Linked DNA regions of Mus musculus. Each later gene encodes a partner of the first gene's protein in a complex. Links are inferred from orthologs where the notes say so. Each region holds a gene or a part of one and is shown on either strand. Other genes may lie near its edges.

The links. The genes of interacting proteins can lie anywhere in the genome.
Region 2: Cpsf3 (region 1) and Cpsf4 share a complex: the UniProt entries of both Homo sapiens proteins name them as parts of the cleavage and polyadenylation specificity factor (CPSF) complex. The link is inferred for Mus musculus from reciprocal best matches to the Homo sapiens genes CPSF3 and CPSF4.
Region 3: Cpsf3 (region 1) and Cpsf2 share a complex: the UniProt entries of both Homo sapiens proteins name them as parts of the cleavage and polyadenylation specificity factor (CPSF) complex. The link is inferred for Mus musculus from reciprocal best matches to the Homo sapiens genes CPSF3 and CPSF2.

What each region holds. Positions count from the first base shown.
Region 1 is NC_000078.6:21,283,757-21,291,155, forward strand, and holds the start of Cpsf3 (cleavage and polyadenylation specificity factor subunit 3), read left to right. Parts: upstream 1-2,540; 5' UTR 2,541-2,738; coding exon 2,739-2,788; intron 2,789-3,048; exon of another isoform or gene 3,049-3,162; coding exon of another isoform or gene 3,163-3,194; intron 3,195-4,170; exon of another isoform or gene 4,171-4,303; intron 4,304-4,978; exon of another isoform or gene 4,979-5,172; intron 5,173-6,491; coding exon 6,492-6,555; intron 6,556-7,399. UniProt on the Homo sapiens protein: Component of the cleavage and polyadenylation specificity factor (CPSF) complex that plays a key role in pre-mRNA 3'-end formation, recognizing the AAUAAA signal sequence and interacting with poly(A) polymerase and other factors to bring about cleavage and poly(A) addition.
Region 2 is NC_000071.6:145,164,023-145,171,637, forward strand, and holds the start of Cpsf4 (cleavage and polyadenylation specificity factor subunit 4), read left to right. Parts: upstream 1-3,190; 5' UTR 3,191-3,334; coding exon 3,335-3,437; intron 3,438-6,492; coding exon 6,493-6,543; intron 6,544-7,615. Other genes in the region: Ptcd1 (pentatricopeptide repeat-containing protein 1, mitochondrial), read right to left, coding at 1,039-1,485. UniProt on the Homo sapiens protein: Component of the cleavage and polyadenylation specificity factor (CPSF) complex that play a key role in pre-mRNA 3'-end formation, recognizing the AAUAAA signal sequence and interacting with poly(A) polymerase and other factors to bring about cleavage and poly(A) addition.
Region 3 is NC_000078.6:101,973,143-101,980,398, reverse strand, and holds the start of Cpsf2 (cleavage and polyadenylation specificity factor subunit 2), read right to left. Parts: upstream 4,426-7,256; 5' UTR 4,265-4,425; intron 1-4,264. UniProt on the Homo sapiens protein: Component of the cleavage and polyadenylation specificity factor (CPSF) complex that play a key role in pre-mRNA 3'-end formation, recognizing the AAUAAA signal sequence and interacting with poly(A) polymerase and other factors to bring about cleavage and poly(A) addition.

The DNA.
Region 1 (7,399 bases):
GTGAGCCACCGAGTGGTTGCTGGGCATTGAACTCAGGATCTCTGGTAGAGCAGTCAGTGCTCTTAACCGCTGGACCATCTTTCCAGCCCCCATATTTCTATATTAATTTTTAAAGTTACTTAATAAAATGTGGTTCTGCTGGGCAGTGGTGGCGCACACCTTTAATCCCAGTACTTGGGAGGCAGAGGCAGCTGGATTTCTGAGTTTGAGGCCAGCCTGGTCTACAGAGTGAGTTCCACAGCCTGGGCTATACAGAGAAACCCTGTCTCGAAAAGACAAAAAAAAAAAAAGTGGTTCTGTTGTTAGAATCTTAAAGCATCCCCACAGATCCTTGGCGATGATTGGATATCACCAAGGCCTTTGCAACTTCTCAAAACTTGCTCTGCAGCATCAATCCAGGAACTGAGATGGGGAAAGAACTGGTTAGTCTTTGATATCTGCTGCTGTTCTGGGTGTATGTACTTAATCAAATTGTTCTTGCTTCTAAATTATTCATGCTTAAAAATGAGCCAGGGGATGCTATCTGTCAGCTGAAAGTTACACAGATTCATCAAATGCAAAAACTGCCAGAGGCTCCGACCTGCTCCTCCCTCGTCTCTCCCACTCAGGCAATTAAGCCATCACTGGTAGGAACCAGAAAATCATCAATCCCTCACTGTTCTTCAACCTTCACATCCAACTAAGGACCAGGATCCCAGGTCCATGGCAGACTCTGCCTCAGCTTGGTAACCAGCCCCACATCTTTGGGGGGAACTAATGGCATTCTTTCAGCGTGAATGTGATGATCCTCAATCTATAGAAAACGCCCAAGTTCACAGTCTGACACACTTAAAGAATCCACACACCCACTATAGAGGCTTTGTGGGTAAAAGCCCTTACTTTTAAAAAAAGAAAAGGTGTGTGTAGGAGTAGATTGCCCCTGGAGCTGGTGTTGAGCCACAAGCACCAAAACTTGGATCCTCAATAAGACAGGTAGATGCTCTTATCCACTGAGTCAGCTCTCTGAATGAATGATCTTGTCCTACAGAACTCCTTGTGGCTCTAAGGTCTGCCTCCACATTTTAGCCACAAAAAGAAGGAGGAGGGGGGCTGGAGAGGTGGCTCAGCGGGTAAGAGCACTGACTGCTCTTCCCGAAGGTCCTGAGTTCAATTCCCAGCAACCACATGGTGGCTCACAACCACCCGTGATGAGGTCTGGCGCCCTCTTCTGGTGCATCTGAAGACAGCTACGGTGTACTTACATATAATAATAAATAAATCTTTAAAAAAAAAAAAGAAGGAGGAGGAGGAGGAGGAGGAGGAAAAGAAGATAACAATGATTTCTTTCAAACACAGATCAGAGCTCAGTATTATTAGGCCGTTGTTCACCGGTGTCCTACTAAGATTTGACTACTAAGATTTGACTAAGGAAGGTCAAATCCCTCCAGCAAGAACCCACCCAGGGCTCTCCAACCACTCTCTCTCAAGCTTGTCTTCAACAATGAGCTACACATCTCTCAGGAACGCAAAGCCACTTTGGTTCTGAGCGGTTCTAAGCTCCTGTATGTTCTTATACTATCTAACTTTCCCTCCCACAGAACTCTCATTTTGTAAGTTCCTTGGCAACTACTTGCCTCGCACAACTTATTTCGGGCCTTTTAAAGAAAGCCTTCCTTGGACTTTCAGGTTGGACTAAAAGACATCAGATCACAGCATTAAAATGTCATCTTCTTCTTTAAACTCCCACTCCCTCAACTAACTAGTGCAAGGCGAGGCTGAATTGGTTCTCAGTAGATAGACAGTATAGCGGAAGAGGACTCGTTACAGGGTTCTGACAATTGCCCTAGGAGGTGATATCCAATAACGTCGCCAAGATGCTCCAGAAACCGCTAGCCCTCACTCTGGCCCATCTGGAGCAGCCGGTCCCTAGGGTCATCGGAGCCTTCCGAGCAGTGAGAACGCCCAGCTGCATTCACGTGAGTCAACCAAGCCAGAGATTCAATAACTTGTCCCACATCACAAAGTTTACTTGGGGACCCCGACAAGATCAGGCTTCCAAAGCTCTGCACACATGCCTCGCACAAGTGAGGATGTAGACAGCTAACTCCAACCCCACCTGGGTGCAGCAACAAGCAGAGGGAGGCCTCAGGGTCTTGCGGAGCCTGGTCCCCGGGGAGGCAGGCGGTAGACCTGTCACGGGAACGCGGGTCCCTCCCTGACCGGGCGCCGAGCTCCTCTTCCTTTCCCCGGTTTGCACTCTGTCGGTGCCTCAGCCTCGGGACGTGGAGGGAATGGGAGGACGGCGGGCTGCGGGGTACTCCCCACACACCCGCACCCTCTGGCCCGGCTGAGGCGAGGCCCGGTTCTCACCTCGCCTCCTCGGCTCGTTCCCCGGTCGCCCCGGTCTCGCGGGGTGTGGGATGGTCCAGCGGCGGCGGCCGGTAGGTTATTCCAGTTCGTATTCCAGCTCCGGCTTTGCCAGTTTTCCTGCCCTGGTCCGCTGGGCCACGCCCCTATCATGCGCAGGCGCAGTCTTTAGGCCGCGCCTCCAGTTCCTTAACCGCACCTCCGGGAACCTAAAGAACCTCGTTCTCGAACCGGAAGTTGGAGGGCCGAATCTAGCTCCGGGAACGCTAGAGCGCCGGAAGTTGTGTGTTGGTGGTGGGGGTTTTTTCTTCTTTGGTTTGCAGTAGCTGTGCTTTGAATTTAGAGACTGCGGCGACGAGTTCGTGGTCCACGCTGCTCCTGAGACTGCCAGGATGTCTGCGATTCCTGCAGAGGAGAGCGACCAGCTGCTGATCCGACCCCTGTAAGGGATGCGCTAGAGAGGGAGCGAGCCCCCCTCCCCGTATGTGTGAGAGCCTGGAGGGACCCCCGCGGAGGCAGCTGCGGGTCCAGCCTCTCAGGTTCAAGGGATTTGGAGAACATTGATCGATGGGCTATCTAGGTTGAATGTCATTTTTCCTTCAGTCTCGGGGAGGGTATTTTGGGGAAAAAAAATCCAGGTCATTGGGTGTTTTCATAAAGAAAGGGTTGCCAATTAACACAAGTCTGGATCTCGTACATCAGAGCAAGCCTTGAGGGAACCGACAGATAGAGGACACTGCAAGGAAGAACTGCATCTGCCTCCTTTCCAGGACCCTACACGTGCTCAGATGGGCGGGGAAATTAAAGACGTGGTGTATGTACTTTGAGAGCTCAGACCTTAGCAGAAGGTAGGAGGAAATTGGAGAGGGGAAAGCTGAGGCGTTTCCGCGAGAAATTAAGAGCTAAATCACCATAAAAGATTGGTTTTAGTGGAAATGGCGTTCTGGAATATTTTGTAGAGAATTGCCTCACACATTTAAAGGTGCAGAACGTACTGGATGAGCGGTGAGACTCATCCAATACACGTGGTTGTTGTTCAGCATGAGACACTATTTGGCACCACATGAATGTGTACATTTTCAAAGGCCGGAAACTATCTCCTTTACCCACTCATAAAGTAAGATTTACTGAGCACTTACCAATGAATGTACCCAAGTGATGCTGTCATCTCCCTATATACACTAAGCAAATATCAAACAAAATCACCAGGCATGGGCTGAGTTCATTGATTTCACGCCTTTGGTGAAATTGTAAAGTGGGGAGTGCTGGAATGAGTTTGTGAAAATAGACAGCTACGTTGGTGTCAGACCTGAAACCCAGTCTTCCTGTTTAATACGGAAGTAGCCTCAATGAACCCACTTCCTCATGTGGAAAAAAGCACTCACTGTGAGGAGTGCTTGCTCTTGGGCAGTGCAGTGATACCAGTGACCGTGCTCAGTGCTCATTTTGACATCTGTTTCAGGAGTATAGGTCAGCACTGTGCTGAGTCTCAAAACAGTTGGAAACTCTTCTGACAGATCTCACGCATTCTGGAAATGTGATTGACATTCGAGCTAAGGCTTAAAGAGTTGGAAAAAATTAAAGACAGTATTGGAACCATAATGTTCCAGGCGCACACAAAAGGTTCTGATTTATGGCCAGTTTTACTTTGGTTGCAGGTAACAGATTAGCAGACGGATTGGGGCAGGCTATCTCTACCTTATGAAGGACCTTGTATACATACTAAAGAGCTTGACTGTTTATCACACCAGTTATAGTAAGCCGACAAAAGATTTAAAGCAACTGTGTAATACAGTGGGAATTAGATTAAAGTTGTGGCTACTTTCCCTTTTGAAAGCATTCATTCAGTGGCCTTTTGCTCGTGAGCCACTGAGCTGTCCTGAAGGGGCAGAGTGAAAACATCACTTTTGGGGGAAGTGGTGACATGTTGTTTGCTTCAATCAGTGTTGTGACAAGAAAAACAAAGAACAACTCCAGTGTGGTAGACGAATATGGACGAAGTGAGGAGAATCTGGTAGGATGTAATCACAGTCCAGTCCTGAGTGATGAGAGCTGGTAGCCAGTGAAAGGGGTGGGGGGGAGTAGAAAGGAGTGGATTTGAGGAGTTCAGGAGTAAAGTCTTGACAAGTGGTCAGATGTCATCTGAAGGGACGGTGGCAGGACACAGGCAGAGAGTACACGTCAGGTCTCTTGGTTCTGTACAGGAGGTGCAGCAAGGGAGAAAGTTTGATCTTGTTGTTTGGTGGGAGTTGTAAATATGTAACTTACCATACCTTATAAAGCTGTGCACTTCGATATGCGCTTGTTTGCTTTGGAGTATGTATGTGTCTGTAGGTTTTCTGTTAACATAGAATCTCGCTAGGTAGCACACACTGGCCTGGAACAAACCCATGACAATTCTCTTGCCTCAGTCTCCCAGTGTTAGGATTACAGGAGTGTGTTATCCTGATGAGCTCCAATGGTTTTTAGTGTGTTTGGGGAATTATATAGCCTTTGCTATGACTGTAGTGCCCAATCCCATAGCCGACACCTGCATTACCCTTTCTAAAGAGCACATTAGGCTCCACGCTCAGGTCTCGCCACCCTCCCAAACCTTCAGCAACCACCTGTCTATTTTTCCTTCTCTGTGGAGTTGGCAGTTGAGAAGGTGTCTGAGAAGATGAAACCTGACTGAGACCCAAATGTTCTAAAGGAGCCTGATGTGTAGGGAGCTGAGAACCGAACACTCCAGGAAGAAAGAGCCAGTCCAGGGGCCTGTGAAAACTAGCTTGGCCTACTAAACATGAAGTGCCTGGCAGCAACCCAGCAAAGAGGCTGAAATGGCAGGTACATGTACCAGAGGGCTAGAATTCAGAGCAGTCTGAGCTGCAGACACAGACTCCGAGTTCAACAGCATGTCGGATGCATGAATGGAAAGACCATGAAGTTGGGAAGAGGGCCAGGAGAGACTCTGAGATATTAGCATTCAGAGGTTAGAGAGCCAAGGCAGATAAGTGAAGAAGGGGAAAAAAAAAAAAAAAAACCTGGGAAAGCCAGCAAGACAGACCAGAGTGTGGAGTCAGAGAAGCCAGGAAGTGCTTGAGGGAACACTTAAGCAAGGAAGGTAATGGCTGCCAAGGGGACTGGTTGGGTTAAGGACCAAGTAGAGCTGTTTGCACTTAGCAGCAAGAACAATCTCAGAAAAGTAGCTGGAAAAGGCTGGTAAATAAGAGTGGGGGTTTTTAGGAGGGGTATGTAGACAGGCAGCTCTGTGGGGAAGCTGACTTAAGAACAAAATGAGAATCATGGAGATAAAAATCAAGGAATTTTAATTGAAGACAAAAAAAATGACCATGGAATTTATTCATTTATTTCTTTGAGACAGAGTCTCACTATGTTCCTTGGCTGTCGTGGAGTTCTCTGTAGGTCAGGCTGGCCCCAGATCTACAGCGCTCCACCCACCAGACAGCTTTATTCTCTATCTACCCCCCAAGTGCTAGAATTGCATCCCTATTGTTTCTTACTCTCTGAGTCTGTGGCTAGCCCAGTGGTAAGGGTCTATCTCATCCCTGTTTGCTCCTAGATCACAAGGTCTTTGAGGTCTGATCACTCTGATACACCCGTCCTAGGCAGTTAGTATCACACTTTAGAATTCATTTTGAGCGAGATTTGGGAGGAAATATCCAACAAGCTGTTATTTTTAGCTTAAGGTGTGCCCAAAGGGAAAAGGCTGAAACCATGGCAACCAGGCTAGGTGGTGATAAGCTGATCTCAAGGTAACACTGAAGTGATGGCTTTGTTCTAGAAGGATTACTCAACTGCTTGTTTACATCTTAAAGTCCCACAGTGCCCACCCTCTCTGCCCGCCACACCGAGGATTGCTTTTCACCTTTTCCTACACCGGCACTCACCCTCTGTTTGAACTCTAGAACTGTCCTTCCTCGGGAATTAAGTGACTACTGTCATAACTCGGGCAGTTAAAGTTGTGAAAGAGTTTGAATTTAGTATGTTGAGTGTTACTGTGGTGGGGTGATACAGGTCGTACTGAACACTGACATCGTTGCCGTGGCCCCCAGTGCTGCCGTTGTCCGTGTGTGCCTCCAAACCGAGCTCTGGCTGCTTGATTGCTTTTTAATCACCTTATTTCTCCCCTTGACTGTTTGCAGTGGTGCTGGGCAAGAAGTGGGAAGATCATGTATTATTCTGGAGTTCAAAGGAAGGAAAATCATGGTAATTATTATTGTTGCTGTTATTACTATTTGGTACTGGAAATTGGATTTTGGGCCATGTGTGGGCCAGGCATGTGTCCTACTGCTGAATCACACTCTTAGCCTAGATAGCAATTATTTATGCTGCCAAGAAAACAGTGTAGCTCTGTCTGTACTGGCTGTTAGATCTGTACTACTGAGCTAGTTATCTCTGTAGCCCTATCTGAGAGAGTATGTGTATATGGAGCTAACACTCTGTGCTGAGAGAAAGCCTAACACACTTTGCTTAGTAATTAAAAACATTAAGTAACCTAAAAAGATATATTGTAACACTGTAAAACTGCCAGCTACATCTGCCAGACTGTTGTCTCTTCAAAGTCCTTGTGATTCCCTTGTCTACACAACCTGAGGACCCCACCCCTTTGGAAGACATCAAGGAATTAACTGCCTTCAATGGGTGTCAACTTTGACCACCCCACAAGTGACACCAGTCCTGCTGGCTCTGTCAGGCCCATCTCTTTGCCTGAGAGGCTAGGCTGAAGGATCAGGAGCACTGGTTCCAAAGGTCCCAGGAGAAAGGGGGACACTGGCTCTAGTTCCTTGATGCTCCTTTTTTTAGTTTTCTAGGTTTGTTTTGTTTTGTTTTAAGATTTATTTTTTTATTTAATGTATGTGAGTACACTGTAGCTGCCTTCAAACACACCAGAAGAGGGCATCAGATCTCATTAAAGATGTTTCTGAGATGTGGAATTGAACTTAGGACCCCTGGAAGAGCATCCACTTAAACACTGAGCCATCTCTCTAGTCCCTAGTTCTCTTAGTCTTAAAAGAACCACCATGTGTCCACCAAAGTCACCTAATTAAAA
Region 2 (7,615 bases), on another chromosome or scaffold:
ATTCCAGTTTAGCCAGGGCTACACAGTTAAGATTGTGAAAAAGGTATAAAACAATAAAATAAGCGGGGTACTGGTAATCCCAGCACTCAAGAAGGGGAGACAGGAAGGGTGAATGTTTTAGGCTGTCCTGAGCTACAAAGTGAGTGCCAATCAGCCAGGGCTACCCAGCAAGACAGCCTTGAAAGAATGAAAATTAGTTAGAGCTGGCAACAGTTTAGAGGTCAAACTGTTAAGAGAAGAATAAGTCATGAGCCCAGGAAATGTGATACGGACAAGAAGACTAACGGGATTACCTCCATGTACTGAGTTAAAGATAGGTAAGGGGCTAGCAATATGGTTCAGCAGAGAGAGGCGCCTGCAGCGCAAGTGACCAGAGTTCGATCCCTGGGCTGTGCATGAAGGTGGAAAGGAAAAGCCAGCTCTATACGTCGTCCTCTGGGCTCCACATGTGCACCGTGGCACACACACTCACACTTGCACCCAGACAGCAATAACAGAGATCCAAGGACTGAGTAATGAACACCCCAGCTTCAACAGCTGAGAAGGCTGCACTGCCCCACATAAAATGCCAACCCAGCAGAAGGAAAACCCCAAGGTTCTCATGTAAAATGCCTACCTGTTTACCAGTTCTCTTAACTCCCTGCCTGCCCTCCGCTCAGTTTCCAGCCCAGCCTCTTCCTCCCTCAGTTCCCCAACAGTCTGCTTAAACATTCCCTTCCCAGTAGTTTCCCCAATGCTAGCAGCTCCAAGCCATAGCAACTGTGCTAGCCTATCTGCTCAGCTCAGCTCAGCTCAGCTCAGCTCAGCTCAGCTCAGCTCAGCTCAGCTCAGCTCAGCTCCTCCTGGCTCCACTGTCTGACAGTGTCTTCACTAACTGCCTTCTCACTCTGCTAGTCCCCACCCCCGGCTTTATATACATTTCCTATCCCGTTCCCAGAAATCCAAGGGGCATCCAACACTGAAGGTCATAGGGTTCTCCCAGCTAAGAATTCTTAAAGGGCCAGGGACACAAGATGAAATCACAGCACACTCTCAGACCTTTCCTTCCTTGATCAGACGTTTGCACTGAAAGAAGTACCAGTACTGAGTGTTCCTCCGGCCCCGCCACGGTCTGGGCTCCAGTTCTTCCTCCTCACCACCCTGTTCCTTGAGCTGCAGGTTGTAGAGCTGGGCCGTTGACTTGTGGAATATCCTCCGGGAGGAGAATTTGCCAGAGAGGCTCCCGAAGCTCTCTTCCTCTGCCTCCTCCTGGGGAGCCACAGTGCTGAGCTTACTGGAGTCAGAGCAGAGGCTGCTCATTTCCTTCTGGTTCCCGCTGCCCAGGGGCAGCGGGGAGGAGGAGCCGCAGAAGGCAGCTCTCAGCCGTGCAGGTCCCTCCCTGCCTCCTGTCCATCGGGTTGATCCAACAAGATCCAGGTGTTGAAGGACAGACAGTCCTATGGGGCGGGGACCGGAAAAGAGCCGGGAGAGTCTTAGGAGGTCCATCGCTGGCTGCCTCGAGCCCCTGCAGCCTGAAATCAAGAAAAATAAGGAAACCGCATCAGACGCCATATAAAAAGTCAGAAAGGAAGGGCTGGCGAGATGGCTCAGCGTGCTCTCCGAAGGTCCTGAGTTCAAATCCCAGCAACCACATGGTGGCTCACCCATAATGAGATCTGACCCCCTCTTCTGGTACATCTAAAGTCAGCGACAGTGTACTTACATATAATAATAAATAAATCTTTGGGCTGGAGTGAGGGGGCCTACTGGTGCAAGCAGGGCCTACCAGAGCGAGCAGAGGTCCTAAAAAATTTCAATTCCCAACAACCACATGAAGGCTCACAGCCATCTGTACAACTATAGTGTACTCACATACATTAAATAAATAAATAAATAAACAAACAAATCTTTTTTAAAAAGAGTCAGAAAAGAGAGACAAGTTTACTCAGAGGGTAGGCTCTGAGTTAGGAAGACCTGGCTCTGTGCAGGGTGGGGAGTGGGAGATCAGTCAAACTTACTATCTCAGCTGGGTAGAAAAGAGTCAGAAATTCAGGGTCACCCTCAGCTATAATGTCAACTTCAAGACCAGCCTGGGCTTCATGAGATTGTCTTTAAAAAGTAAGAGTAAGTCGTGATGGGCCATGCCTTTAGGCCCTGCACCAGGGAGACAGAGGCAGGAGAATTTCTATGAGTTCAATGCCAGTCTGGTCTACAACTGTGAGTCCACGCTACTCAGGGCTACCTAGAGATCCCCAGTCTCGACAACAACAACAAGAGGCTCAAGAGGGTCTCAGCAGATAAAGGTGCTTACTGCAGAGCTCGGTGACCTGAGCTTGATTCCTGAACATACTTGGAAGGACTTGTGGTACAAGCTTTTCCCTAATCTGCACTCGAGTGGTGTGGAAGGCACATATATGCACATGCTCCCTCTCACAGAGCTACACCCTCTCACCCTCGCATTCTATTTTTATTAGGCTGTGCTGGGCCTGCTTACTTTGAAGCCCTTTAATAAAAAAACAAAACAAACAAACAACAACAAAAACAAGACATAATAACAGGGAAAAGAGGTATGACGGTATTTTGAGGCTTAGCTCTACTAGGTTGACTCGCTCTCCAGGGTCTCATGTAATGCAGTCTGGTCTTGAGCTTCTGACCCTTCTGCCTCCACTTGCCAGTTAGTGGGATTACAAGTCTGTACTAACACTACCGGCTTATGCGGTGGTGGGGCAAGCACTTTACCAACTGAGCCACACCTCCTGCCCCCTTACCCGACTTTTAAACGTCTGCATTAGAGCTACACCCACAGAGAGACCTGGGACCCTAGGTCGCCCCTTGCTTCCTCTCCCCAGGCCTTTAGATCCTCCGTTTTCGCATCTGAGCTTGGACAAAGTCCCTCAGGTCCAATTTCCACCCGGCTTCCGGGTTTCCTATGAGGGTTGAACAGAAACTCACTCTGAGCGTTCTAAGCGGCGAGCCCCTAGTGAGACGTCCTCAGAGTCGAGGGACCGCGGCTCCAGAGACAGCGTTCCTGCCCTCAGCACAGACTACGGAGATCCCGCGCAGGCGCACTTGCGTCGCCGCCTCTTGTGTAAGATACAGAACCGAAAGAAACAGGCGATCGGTCGGCGGCTAGTCAGGCCTGAAGGAGTGGCCGGACTCTGAGCTCCGTTGGCTGAGTCTGGATGGGAAAAAAGGGCCGGCGCGGGCTCCAGCGCTCCCGGCATCCCTCGCGGGGCGGCGGCTGCGGCGGCGGCGGTGGCGGCAAGCGAGAAGGGGACGGGGAGAGGTAGCGTGAGTTGCGGAGAGCGGCTGAGAGACCTGAGGGGGAGCTGGGCCCGAGGCCGCCGCCGCCGCCATGCAGGAAATAATCGCCAGCGTAGATCACATCAAGTTCGACTTGGAGATCGCCGTGGAGCAGCAGCTCGGGGCGCAGCCGCTGCCCTTCCCCGGCATGGATAGTGAGTGCGGGGCCCGGCGGGTGGGTGGGCGAGTCTGATTCTGACCAGAGGTTACCCCAGCCCTGGGCCCTGGAACCCGGGACCCTCGCCTAGTTCCTCCGCTTCCGTCCTGGGACTTCCCGGTGTCACTTGAACTCGGGGAGACCTTTCCTTGGATCCTTGATCCCCGGGGACTGCTCCGTGGCAATCCTCGGGACAGCAGGACTGTGTCGGTTGTTCGCGTAATTCTCCAGTGAACGCGTGTCATCCTGAAGTGGAACTGCCTTCTCCCATCCTGCTCCAACTTCAGCAAAGTCTTAGAATGTCCCCCATTTCCACCTCTTAGCGTGCTCCTCTCTACTTTCATCAGAACTAGGCGGTAGAAGAGTCTGAGTGTATCTGACTGTCGAAGACTCCAAGTAGACCCTCATATTCCAGGCTTGCTTTAGTCTAGCTCCTGGGAAATCCTTCCCTGTCCTGGAATTGTCCGTTTTCCTCACTACCCCACCTCCGGGTCACCTGTCCCAACTCAGGCCCCCAGCGAACCTTTAGACCGAGCTATATTTACTGTCCCTCTTCATGTGATGAGATGGTTTTCCTGTTCTGGTGGGATATATCTTCCGTTTGGGGGAGCTGCTTCAATTCAGACAGAACTGTCCTCTTTGGCCAGGTCGTCCTTGCACATATGTCTACTCTTTGTTGTTGTTGTTTTTCGAGACAGAGTTTCTCTGTATAGCCCTGGCTGTCCTGAAACTCACTCTATAGATCAGGCTAGCCTTTTAAGCACTAGGTTTTTACTCAATTTGATGGCACTGCCTTGAGACCATGGAACATTTGTGTGGGGCAATAGATCCACAAACCTGTGGAGGCAAGTGTGCACTTGAAGTAAAGATTTGGGTTTCTTTAAAAAACACAGAAATAGCCGGGCAGTGGTGGCGCACGCCTTTAATCATGGCTCTTAGGAGGCAGAGGCAGGTGGATTTCTGAGTTCAAGGCCAGCCTGGTCTACAGAGTGAGTTCCAGGACAGCCAGGACTACACAGAGAAACCCTGTCTTGAAGGGAAAAAAACAAAAACAAACAAACAAAATCCAGAACCCAGAAAACTACAGAAATAGGAATATATTTTTATTTTAATCCCAGATATGGGATCTGGGGCTGCTTCAGATTTTCCATAGCAGCTGACTATGATTTGCCTCATTCCTTAGCAGGAGTGTGATACTGCCAATGGCAGATAGTTTTTGCCATTGTGTGGCATTTGGAATTCGGAGGACTCTTAAGAGGGTATATAAATGCTAGGGCCCCAAGAATGTGGGTTGTTGGTTGGTTGAGAGTTGTTAAGTAGTTGTGCACAAAAAAGGAACAACAAGAAATTAGATACCCTGACAGCAAAGACCAAACTTGCTCCCTAATCATCCGGGAGCAGTCTAACAATGACATCACCCCCTCTCTCCCTTCCATCCTTTTTTTCTCACCTATCTAGTGTTAGGGGACTAGAAGGGTGGAAGATAAAAGAACCCACAAAGTAGCCAAAGTCTCCCTAGGAGAGCCAGGGATGTGCATAGCATGGGTACCTCCGAAGCTCAGGTCCAGATTTGGTAGGTGCCTTGCTGGGCCTTGACATACCCAACACAACCACAAACAAGAAGTGCGTGCTGAGGCACCTTCCATTGCAGCCACTCAGTGATGGCTCTTGCCTTTAATCCCAGCACTCAGGATGGAGGGACAGGCAGATCTCTGAAACTGAGGCCAAGCTGGTCTACAAAGCAAGTTCTAGAATAGCCAGGGCTGTTACACAGAGAAACCCTGCCTCTGGGGAAAAAGAAAAAAAAAGAAGACAGAAGGAAATGGTGTTTCTGGTTTTTGTTTTATTTTGGTTTGTTGTTTTGGTTTGGTTGTTTTCTTTTATTTCTTCTTTTTTTTTTTTTTTTTTTTTGAGACAGGGTTTCTCTGTGTAGGCCTGGCTGTCCTGGAACTCACTCTGTAGACCAGGCTGGCCTCGAACTCAGAAATCCGCCTGCCTCTGTCTCCCAAGTGCCGGAATTAAAGGCGTGTACCACCACTGCCTGGCTGGTTTTTGTTTTTTAAGTTTACTGTTTTCTGAAAATCCACGCTGATACATCAGTGAAAACTATTTATGAATCCAAGACTTGTTCTGGTGAGTTTCTGGACTTGCTGACTGCTGCCACATGCTGGCTCTGTAGATGTGCTGCCCTCCCAGAGTTGGCTGTGTTTGTGAGGATGAATGGCCTTGCACCTATGTAATTCTATGTAGGTGTCACATATTAAGGGCTGGCCTGCTTGATCTTCCATTATATTCTTCCACTAGGCTAATGTCTAAAGAGGCCCCTGCCTGCTCTGTCATCTTCCCTGCTCAGAGGCTCAGCTAGTGATTTAGTTATTTCCTGTGAGACCATTCATTCCTTCTCTCTGTCTCATACTAATATACTTGTAAATTAACCCCCATGGGAGGGCTGAGCTGGGGGTAATTATTCTCTGATCTTGTGTTCCTTCTTACCTTCTCCACCCATTCTTTTTTTTTTTTTTTTTTTTTTTTTTGTTTTTGTTTTTTTTTTTTTTGTTTTTCAAGACAGGGTTTCTCTGTATAGCCTTGGCTGTCCTGGAACTCACTTTGTAGACCAGGCTGGCCTCGAACTCAGAAATCTGCCTGCCTCTGCCTCCCGAGTCTGAGTCCTGGGATTAAAGGCGTGCACCACCACTGCCCAGCCTCTCCACCCATTCTTAAATGTCTTGAAAGCTCTTGGCTTCCAGGAGGTTTTGAGATGTTTAGTCCCACAGTGAAGTCACATTTCACGAGTCTGACTGAAACAAGTGGCTTTTGCTTTGAGACAAGGTCTCACTGTGTTGCCCTAACTGGCCTGGAGCTAAATGTGTAGCCCTGGCTAGGCTAGAACTCAGAGCTCTGCCTGTGTCTGCCTCTGAGTACTGGGATATCCCACCATGGCAGGCATGGGCTTTGTGGTTTTTGCCAGCTCACTACATCCTGCACTAAAGGTCCTAAGAGTCCCCTCCATTGGTACCTAGCTTTAGTTGATGACTGGTTCTTTCCTTTTACAGAGTCGGGGGCTGCTGTCTGTGAATTCTTTTTGAAAGCCGCCTGTGGCAAAGGTAAGAGACCCTTGACTTCCTCACACCCTTCCTGAAGTACCCTGTGTTGTTTGTATTTTGAGGTTAATTTTGTTTCTTTAAGAACGGTTGTTTTTGATGAGCAGTCTATCATGTATTTAGGTGATTTTATGTGAGGTTTTTTTTTCTTTATTCGGTCAATAAAGGTTAGAGCCTGTGGTTGGGCAGTGGAGGTTCGGAAAGGTGGGACTGGAGGTTTCAGAGTGGGAGCAGGTAGAAAGGAGAAGAGGACGAGAAGGGAAGGAGAGAGGACTGAAGAAGAGGAGGAGGAAGCCATGATGGAGCAGAGCCATGTAGCCAAGAGAAACCACAAGTAACAAGGGTCTTATAGCTGGTGAGTAAGTTAGTATGGTATTAGATCTGCCCAATGTACGCTTATAGCTTATAATTATAGTAACTAGATTGTGTGTTTTTTACATGGGCTTATTGGAGTTGGAAATTCCAGCTACACCCTGGCCCTACTTGGCCCTCTAGCAGATTTCCAGGCCACTGGGTATCTGCCTGTATTACATTCAGTTGTATTATATTGAGATGAGTGTTCCTAAGTGAAGCCATGGCTTAGATAGGCTAGGAGGACGTTGGACTATGGTACCCAAAACCTAAACACAGACTGAGCCTGCCCGGCTTAAAGGTTGCCTTCTTTTGTTACTTTTCCTTCCCGTGGAGAGGAGGGCATACAGGCTTTCAGGGGCTTCTCATGGTCTCAGAATTACACGTAGCCATGCCCAGGGGCTGAATACAGACTTTTTAATTTCAGTGTATGCAAGCTAGTGAGCTTCCTAGTCAAAGACTGGCCAAGTCTTTCTTCTGGGGCCTCAGCAGAGGCTATGTGAGCCTAGCCCTCCATTGATTCGTAGGTGTTTGTGAGCGGGGCCTTGTGTGTCAGGTGCTTGAACAGGAAGCGCAGGTGCAGAGCAAGGGTGCTTGGAATGGATGGACTGGGAACAGTGAGTTTGGCCTGCACAGTGCAGTGCTGCAGAGTGCTGAGGCAGTAGACCTCGGAGTGGAGAACAGCTTGACCTCATGGTCTCTGGTCATGACATCATTCTCTCTC
Region 3 (7,256 bases), about 81 Mb from region 1:
AGGAACCCAATACCCCTAATCAACAGGAAGTAGTCTTAGAAGGTCTATGTCGTCTTTCCCCTCCTACCTTCTTTCTCTCCTACCTAGTGTTTGGGGGTGGAGGTGGGGGAAGGCGTTGGAAGGGACTAGGGTGGAAGAGGACTGGAAGGGAGAAAGTGTAAGATCCCAGTAACACAGCTAAACAAATACAACAATATACTTCCAGCTATAACTTTGGTGTTTTAATTTCTGTCTTTCTCTAAGGCATCATGAGCAACAGAAGAAGTGCTTGCTTTTTTAGACAAGTTTTCACTGTGAAGTCCTTTTGGCTGACAATATAGCACAAATGGCCTCAGATTCTTTAACCTCCTGCCTCAGCCTCTAAAATGCTAGGATTCCAGGCATGTACAATTATGCCTGGCCCTATAGGTTCCATTTTAAAAAACGGGGTGGGAGAAAGGACTCAGAGGTTAAGAGCACCTGCTTTTTTTATAGAGGACCTGGGTTCACTTCCCAGTCTCTACATGGTGGTTCACAATCATCTATAACTTCAGTTCCTGGGGATCCAAAGCCCTAGACTCCAAAGGCACCAAACATGTATGTGTTACACATGTATACATACTGTAATATCAAAAATGAATTCAAGACCACCTAGTACCTTCCCCCTTCAAAAGGACTTTCCAGACTGTCCTAGCAGGCCAAGTACAGAGCCAGATAAAGAAGCTGGCTGACTAAACAAACATAGAAACATAGTTTTAACCGTCAAAATGACTAAGCTTCCAAAACAAGATTAACAATGCCCCTGCCCCGCCTCACACTAAAAACCTCAAGGACAGACAAAATGAGAGTCACCGTATACAAACCAACCAATGTCTAAAAAGGTTATTGACTACACCAATTAAAATAAGTCAAACTACCCTGGTGCCTATATCCGGCCCTTACAAAGTTATGACAAGTGTGTGTGTGTGTGTTTTTTTTTTTTTTTTTTTTTTTGTTCTGGGTCTCTCCTCTGGCCTGCGTGCTAAGAGGGGAATCCCCAACATGTTGGAATAATAAAAATCCTCATGCGGTTACAGCAATGGTGGTCTCTGCGGTCCTTGTGAGTGAGGGTCTTTTGACGAACTACAACAATACAAGCAAAAACTCATATGCATAAAATAAAAAAATCTAAAAGAAAAGAGATACATAAATTGTAAGGAGTTAAATTTACAAAAGGGATAAAACATAAGTAATTATGGGCCAAATTGGTTATAATCTGCTTATATATACACTACTCAGTAAGTGAATCTTAAAAATTCTCAAGTGCTTCTGTTATTGAAGGAACTAAGATTACTTATTAAAGATTTATACAGTCAGGGCAGAAGGAGAGAAAACATTCAAAAGACTGGAATAACATCAGCTAAGACGAAACCCACAAAGCTAGGAGGTATCAGTGAAAAATTCAGCCTGGCATGCTTCCATAGAAAGACAGACAGACAGACTGACCAAGTGAGCAGCAGAGGCCCTGCAGAAGGGCCCTGGATACCCTGGACCTAGTTCTGTAGGCGATGCAGAGGCATTTAAAAATTCATTTTTTTAAGTAGGAAGAAGGCAAAAAATGCCTTAAAAAAAAGTAGGAAGAAGGCATAATACAGGCAACTGTGCTGATGGAAAATAGGCAGATGTGCATGACTGAACACCAACAGAAAAAACACAAACATAGAAAAGGGGAAATTGCTCATTTACACTCAAAACACCTCTCCACTTCACTGATGCTAAGACTAAAATTTTTTTTTGTCTCAAATGTCTTTTTTAATTCCTTATCAATTAATGGGTTATTAGTCAAGTAACCAAGGCTGAAAGTCTTCCCTTTATTTTCTGGGACCATCTCCTATCAATTCCTGATTGCTTCTCCCTCAGAACACCTTGCACGTATACTATCTCCCATCTGTTCTTACTGCCGATACCTGAATGGCAGGCCTCATTACCTTACATTTGGGTTTCGCCATTTCATTCTCGGCAGCTTTCCCCCTCTTTATCTCAGTGGAAACACTCCTGCCAGAATAATCTAAAACATCCCTGCAAACACTATCCCTTGTTCAAGTCTTTGAAGGAAGGGCTGGCAAGATGCTCAGTGGTTAACTTAACCCTGAGTTCAATCCTCTGCACCCACGTGATGGAAGAAGAGTGCCCACTCCACCAAGCTGTCTCTGTGGCCTTCATTTGTCTGCTGTGGTAGATGTGTGCCTACACACACACACACACACACACACACACACACAAAACAACCTTTAAAGGTATCTACTGCCCTAAGAGGGAAAAATAAAAACAAGTAAAAACAAGTAACTGAATGTTTTTACAGGGAGCGAGGTGAGGAGGAAGCAGGAGCTGCCTGAAACCAGTTTACTATTCTCTCAAGGTCTGGCTCAAAGTTTCCTCCTTTCTCATCCTTCTTCCATTATTAGTCTAGACTAATGTGAGCCACAGATGTAATTTAAAAATTTCCCAGCCACATTTACAGCAAAAAGAGGTAAGGCCTGGTGTTTTAACGGTGTCAAATCATCACTTCAGCAGGTCGTCATTTAATGAGTCAGTTTCCAGGGTTTTTGCACTGTGTTCGGCGTGTACTTTCCAGTTCATTCCCATTCAAGCCAACCTCATTTCAAGCGCTCAATACTGCATGTGGCCACTGTAATAGCAGAGGTCTAGACTCCCAAATAATGCTTTGGGCTGGGGAACGTTGTGGTTTTGCCACTGCGTAAGAGCAAAGTTGGCACCACCCTCTTTTTATGTCCATGTCTCAGACCGATTTCAATGGTATTACCAACCATCAAGTTTCGCAGACTAAAAACCATTCACCCACTACCAGTAAACTGGCAGTCACAGGTGGAACCCTATGTAGGTGGCATTTGCTTCATTTCTTCAGGTGGTTCTTCTCCTGCCTCAGCGAAGGTTCTTGTTGCCTTACCTGAATGGCTGACACTGCATCTAGTTTTCTTATCTCAGGTTGGTCCTGCATAGCCTTATATGCCAGATCATCCTAAGACATAAATACCTCCTGCCCACTCCCTGCCAAGTGTGCACCAGCTTCCTGCTGACTAAATGCAAGACAAGCTCCAAGACCACTCACAAGCCGACCTAATCTGCACCTTCAGTCTGCACCAACCACTCTTCCAGTTTTTGATTTGTTAAAAATCTCCCCAACAGTGCTCAGCCTTCTCAAGTTTTTAATCCCTCTTCTGCACCCAGGAATAACTTTGTTCTCCCAGGCTTAGCAAATTCCTCTTGATCTGGCTCAGGTGCAAGCTTTTCATTGTCCCCAGGTAAAGCTTCATTACTTAGCACAAAGGAGGCAGGAGGAGTGTTTGCCAAGGGATGATGATTGTGTCCAAAAGCGATCATCTTTGCATCTCCCAAACCAAGCACAGTGCTCGAAGCAATAGAAATAAATGTGCTGAACGCACTGAACCCACCATATCGGGAATTCCCCCAGGGCAGTGACTTCGACTACCTCTGCTTCATCTCGAATATATACCAGATACTTGCTTTCTCAAGAATGATCGTTCACGCTGAGGTCAACTAATGAGAAATACGCAAAGACGGATCTGGACTAGTCCTGGGGCTCACAGTGGGAGAAGTCTCTCTTTAATCGTTCAGGTAAAGAAAGGCTTTGAAAGGGGCAAAGGAATCGTAAAATTAAAGGGTAGAAAAGTAGGCATAGATGATGCTTAAGTTCTCCTTGTCACAGGGGCCAGAGTACTGGGGCTGGATATGGCCTGACTTCTGGTTTCCTGAAAAGTACGTAAGCAAGGAAACTAGGAATGGGATCTTGGGAAACGTGGTGATTGTGGTAGCGCCGAGAGAAGTTAATTCTATCAAGGCGTGGCATGAGCCTCTCAAGGGTCTTTGGAATTAAGGAGCTACGAAGGCACCTGCTGGCCTCGTGTTCTCTGAGCCCAAGATGGGAAAGGCAGAGATGGGGAGGCTTGGGGAGTACGGCGGTACAAGGGGAAAGAGCCCAGGCTGGACGCGGATTAACTTTTAGCTCCAGCTGATGAAAGCTCAGAGGAACTAGACAGGAGGGAGGGCAAGGAGGAAGCATAGGCGCGCCCCAACACCCCGAGGTTTCAGCCCGGGGAAAAGTCACTTCTCTTCCCCCTTGCGGAACGCTTGTTCCAGGAACCACGGAGACTGTCACAACCGAAACCGCGGGAGCGCGTCCGGGCGACACCGGGCCGACGCGGGAACCCATCCCCTTGAGGGCCTCCTCCCAACCCGAAGGCTCCTTTCCGTCTCCCGTCCTCACCTGCCAGGCCAATCTCCCCCCGGCACCGTCCGCCGCCCTTCCCAACCCCTAGTGGAACGCAGGTCGGAGAGCGAGCAGAGCTAGCGCGCGCTCAGCGGCGGAGAGCAGCCGGCAGGAGCCCCTGTGTGGTGGCCGCCATCTTGGGCCTGAGCAGAGCGGCTGAGGCGGGGACGACCCGGGCGACACCATCTGTAGGGGTGGTGACGAACCGGGTCAGGGAAGAGGACAGCGCAAAAGCTCGCAAACCTTGTCAGCCTGGATCCACGTCTTATTCAAAACGTGTCGCGATCATTCACAGCTTAAGATGTACGGGATTCGCGCGTGAGAAGGGAGAGAGAAGCGCCGGTTTGCCGACGCCACCCCCTCTCATCAGGGCTGGCGCGGCGAGTGGCAGCTCCTTAGGTCACGGCTTCCGCCGGCGCCAGTGGCCTAGCTCCCTGCGGCTGTCCTTGGTCGCCTTGTCACCAGGCTGAAGGTGGGTCTGGGGACCCCGGCGCCACCCGTGGTGGTGATGCGGGCGGGAGGGTTCTGGGGAACGCTCGCATGGAGGGGAAACAGGGTCGCCTTCGGTGACCCCTGCGCGCTGCCCGCCCCACGCCTTTTACAAAGACTGCTCTGGGGACGATCTGATGGCCTGGCTCTCGGGGGACTCGGAAGGGTTCTCAAGGATCCGACTCTTGAGCCCACAATAGGGAATGCAGCTCCTATCCAGAAGCGGGGCGCGGTCGCCCAGGCGTCTGTCTCCTCGTCCAACTCTCCTGATTGTGAAACCCGCACGTAGCCATTTGCCTTTTAAAAACAAGGCTTTCTGCTTGGTTTCCAGTCCGTGTTATGATCTCAACGGTTTCGGTTTTGCTCCATCCATTCCATATCTTAGGTGACACTTTGTAATAATTATAAAGAACTGTGGGGTCCAGTCCAACACAAGGTATTATCTCTTAAAAAGTCTACATGTGCCTGCAGTGGTGGTGGCGCATGCCTTTAATCCCAGCACTTGGAAAGCAGAGGCAGGTGGATTTCTGAGTTCAAGGCCAGGCTGGTCTACAGAGTGAGTTCCAGGGCAGCCAGGGCTTTAAAGAGAACCCCTGTCTTGAAAAACAAAACAACAAAAAAAGTCTACATGTTTCCAGCATGAATCCAGATAGAAGACTCAGCAAAATAAGACTCACAGCAGTGTCTGTTATTCTTGAAAAGGGAAAGAAACTTTAATCCCAGCACTTGGAAAGCAGAGGCAGGTGGTATTTAAGGGAAATACCTTGTGTTAGAGAAAAATATTAAGAAATATGTGGGATGTGGGGTTAGTTGTTTTTTGTTTTTAAAAAGTCTCACACACACACACATGGAGAGAGAGAGAGAGAGAGAGAGAGAGAGAGAGAGAGAGAGAGAGAGAGGCTCTGCAAAGAAGAAAAGAGAGGAGGAGTTATTTAACTGTTTACCTCCGTACACAGGAGAGAGAGTAGAACAAAAGAGCTTAAGCCTGATCAGGATACAGATTGTCTGGGGACTATGCTAATCCTGACTCTTTACCCTATACTTAAAGCAAGTTACTTTGCCACAACTAAATTTGGATTTCTTCATCTGAAAAAAAAAAAAAGCCCCAATCTTGAGACATGGTTACTTAAATCTGCAGTCTGTGGTGAGGAGTATATGAATTAGCTATGACGCAGAAACGCCTCGTCCATGTGGCCTACATCTGTAACTCCAACTACTTTTGAGGATGAGGCAGAGGGATAGTAAGCCAGAGCTTCACAGTAAGACTGTCTCAAAAAACAAATACAAAACAAACAAACAAAAGATTCAGTTCTTGTTAAAAGCTTGCCCAAAAAAAAAAAAAAAATTGGATCACTTTAATATTAAAAAAATAAATGACCAAGCCGGGCATGGTGGCACACGCCTTTAATCCCAGCACTCGGGAGGCAGAGGCAGGCGGATTTCTGAGTTCGAGGCCAGCCTGGTCTACAAAGTGAGTTCCAGGACAGCCAGGGCTATACAGAGAAATCCTGTCTCGAAAAACCAAAAAATAAAATTAAAAAAATAAAATAAAATAAAAATAAATGACAAGACAGAGTGTGTGGCTCTGATACGGTGTGTGCTTTTCAAAGCCAAGGCTGCTTCCCTCCTTCTCTCACCCCCTTCTGTCTGCCTCCCCCCCCCTCTTTTTCTTGACACAGTTTCTCTGTGTAGCCCAGGCTGGCCTTGAACTCAGAGATCCTCCTGCTTCTGCCTTCTTAGTGCACCACCACTGCCCAGCCTCCCAATTCTTTTTTTAAAAATACCACAGTACCAGGCAGTGGTGCACAGGGGAGGCAGAAGCAAGCAGATTCCTGTGAGATCCAGGACAGCCAGGGCTACAAAGAAACACTCTTGAAAAGCAAAGCAATAATGCTATATTTTATTTCTGAAATAAAAACAAAATTCTTCTTATGGCCCCACATGCAGAAAGGCACCTAGAGCTAGAGAGATGGCTGGGCTCAGGGGTTCACAGTGCTTGCTGCCTTTCCAGAGGATCTGAGTTTGGTTCCCAGCTCTCCACTCACAGCTCACATGTTGGGTGGCTCACAACTCCAGTTCCAAAGGGCTGTGATACCTTTGGCCATCTTGGGTTCCTGTACGCATATGCACAGGCACGCGCGCGTGCACACACACACACACACACACACACACACACACACACACGTACAAAACGTTAATAAAAGAGACTATTAATATGTGCTCTCATAAGCACCCGCCAGGAGTATAGTCCTTAAGCAGTTAGTTGGCCCTGTCCTATTGGTAACATTCTTAGCTCACCCACACCAAACCTGAAGTGCAGCTTGTCCTGGTCCTCACTAGATGAAGCTCTATGGATTTAGGTCCATGACCAAGACCCTCGCTCTAGTTCCCCTCTTACCCATTTTCTGGTGAATCATTCTGACTCACAGATGTCCACTTTTGCCCTCCCTGCTCATGTCCTTGCAGAAAGACATCTCTGTAGATGATGTTCACTGCATTG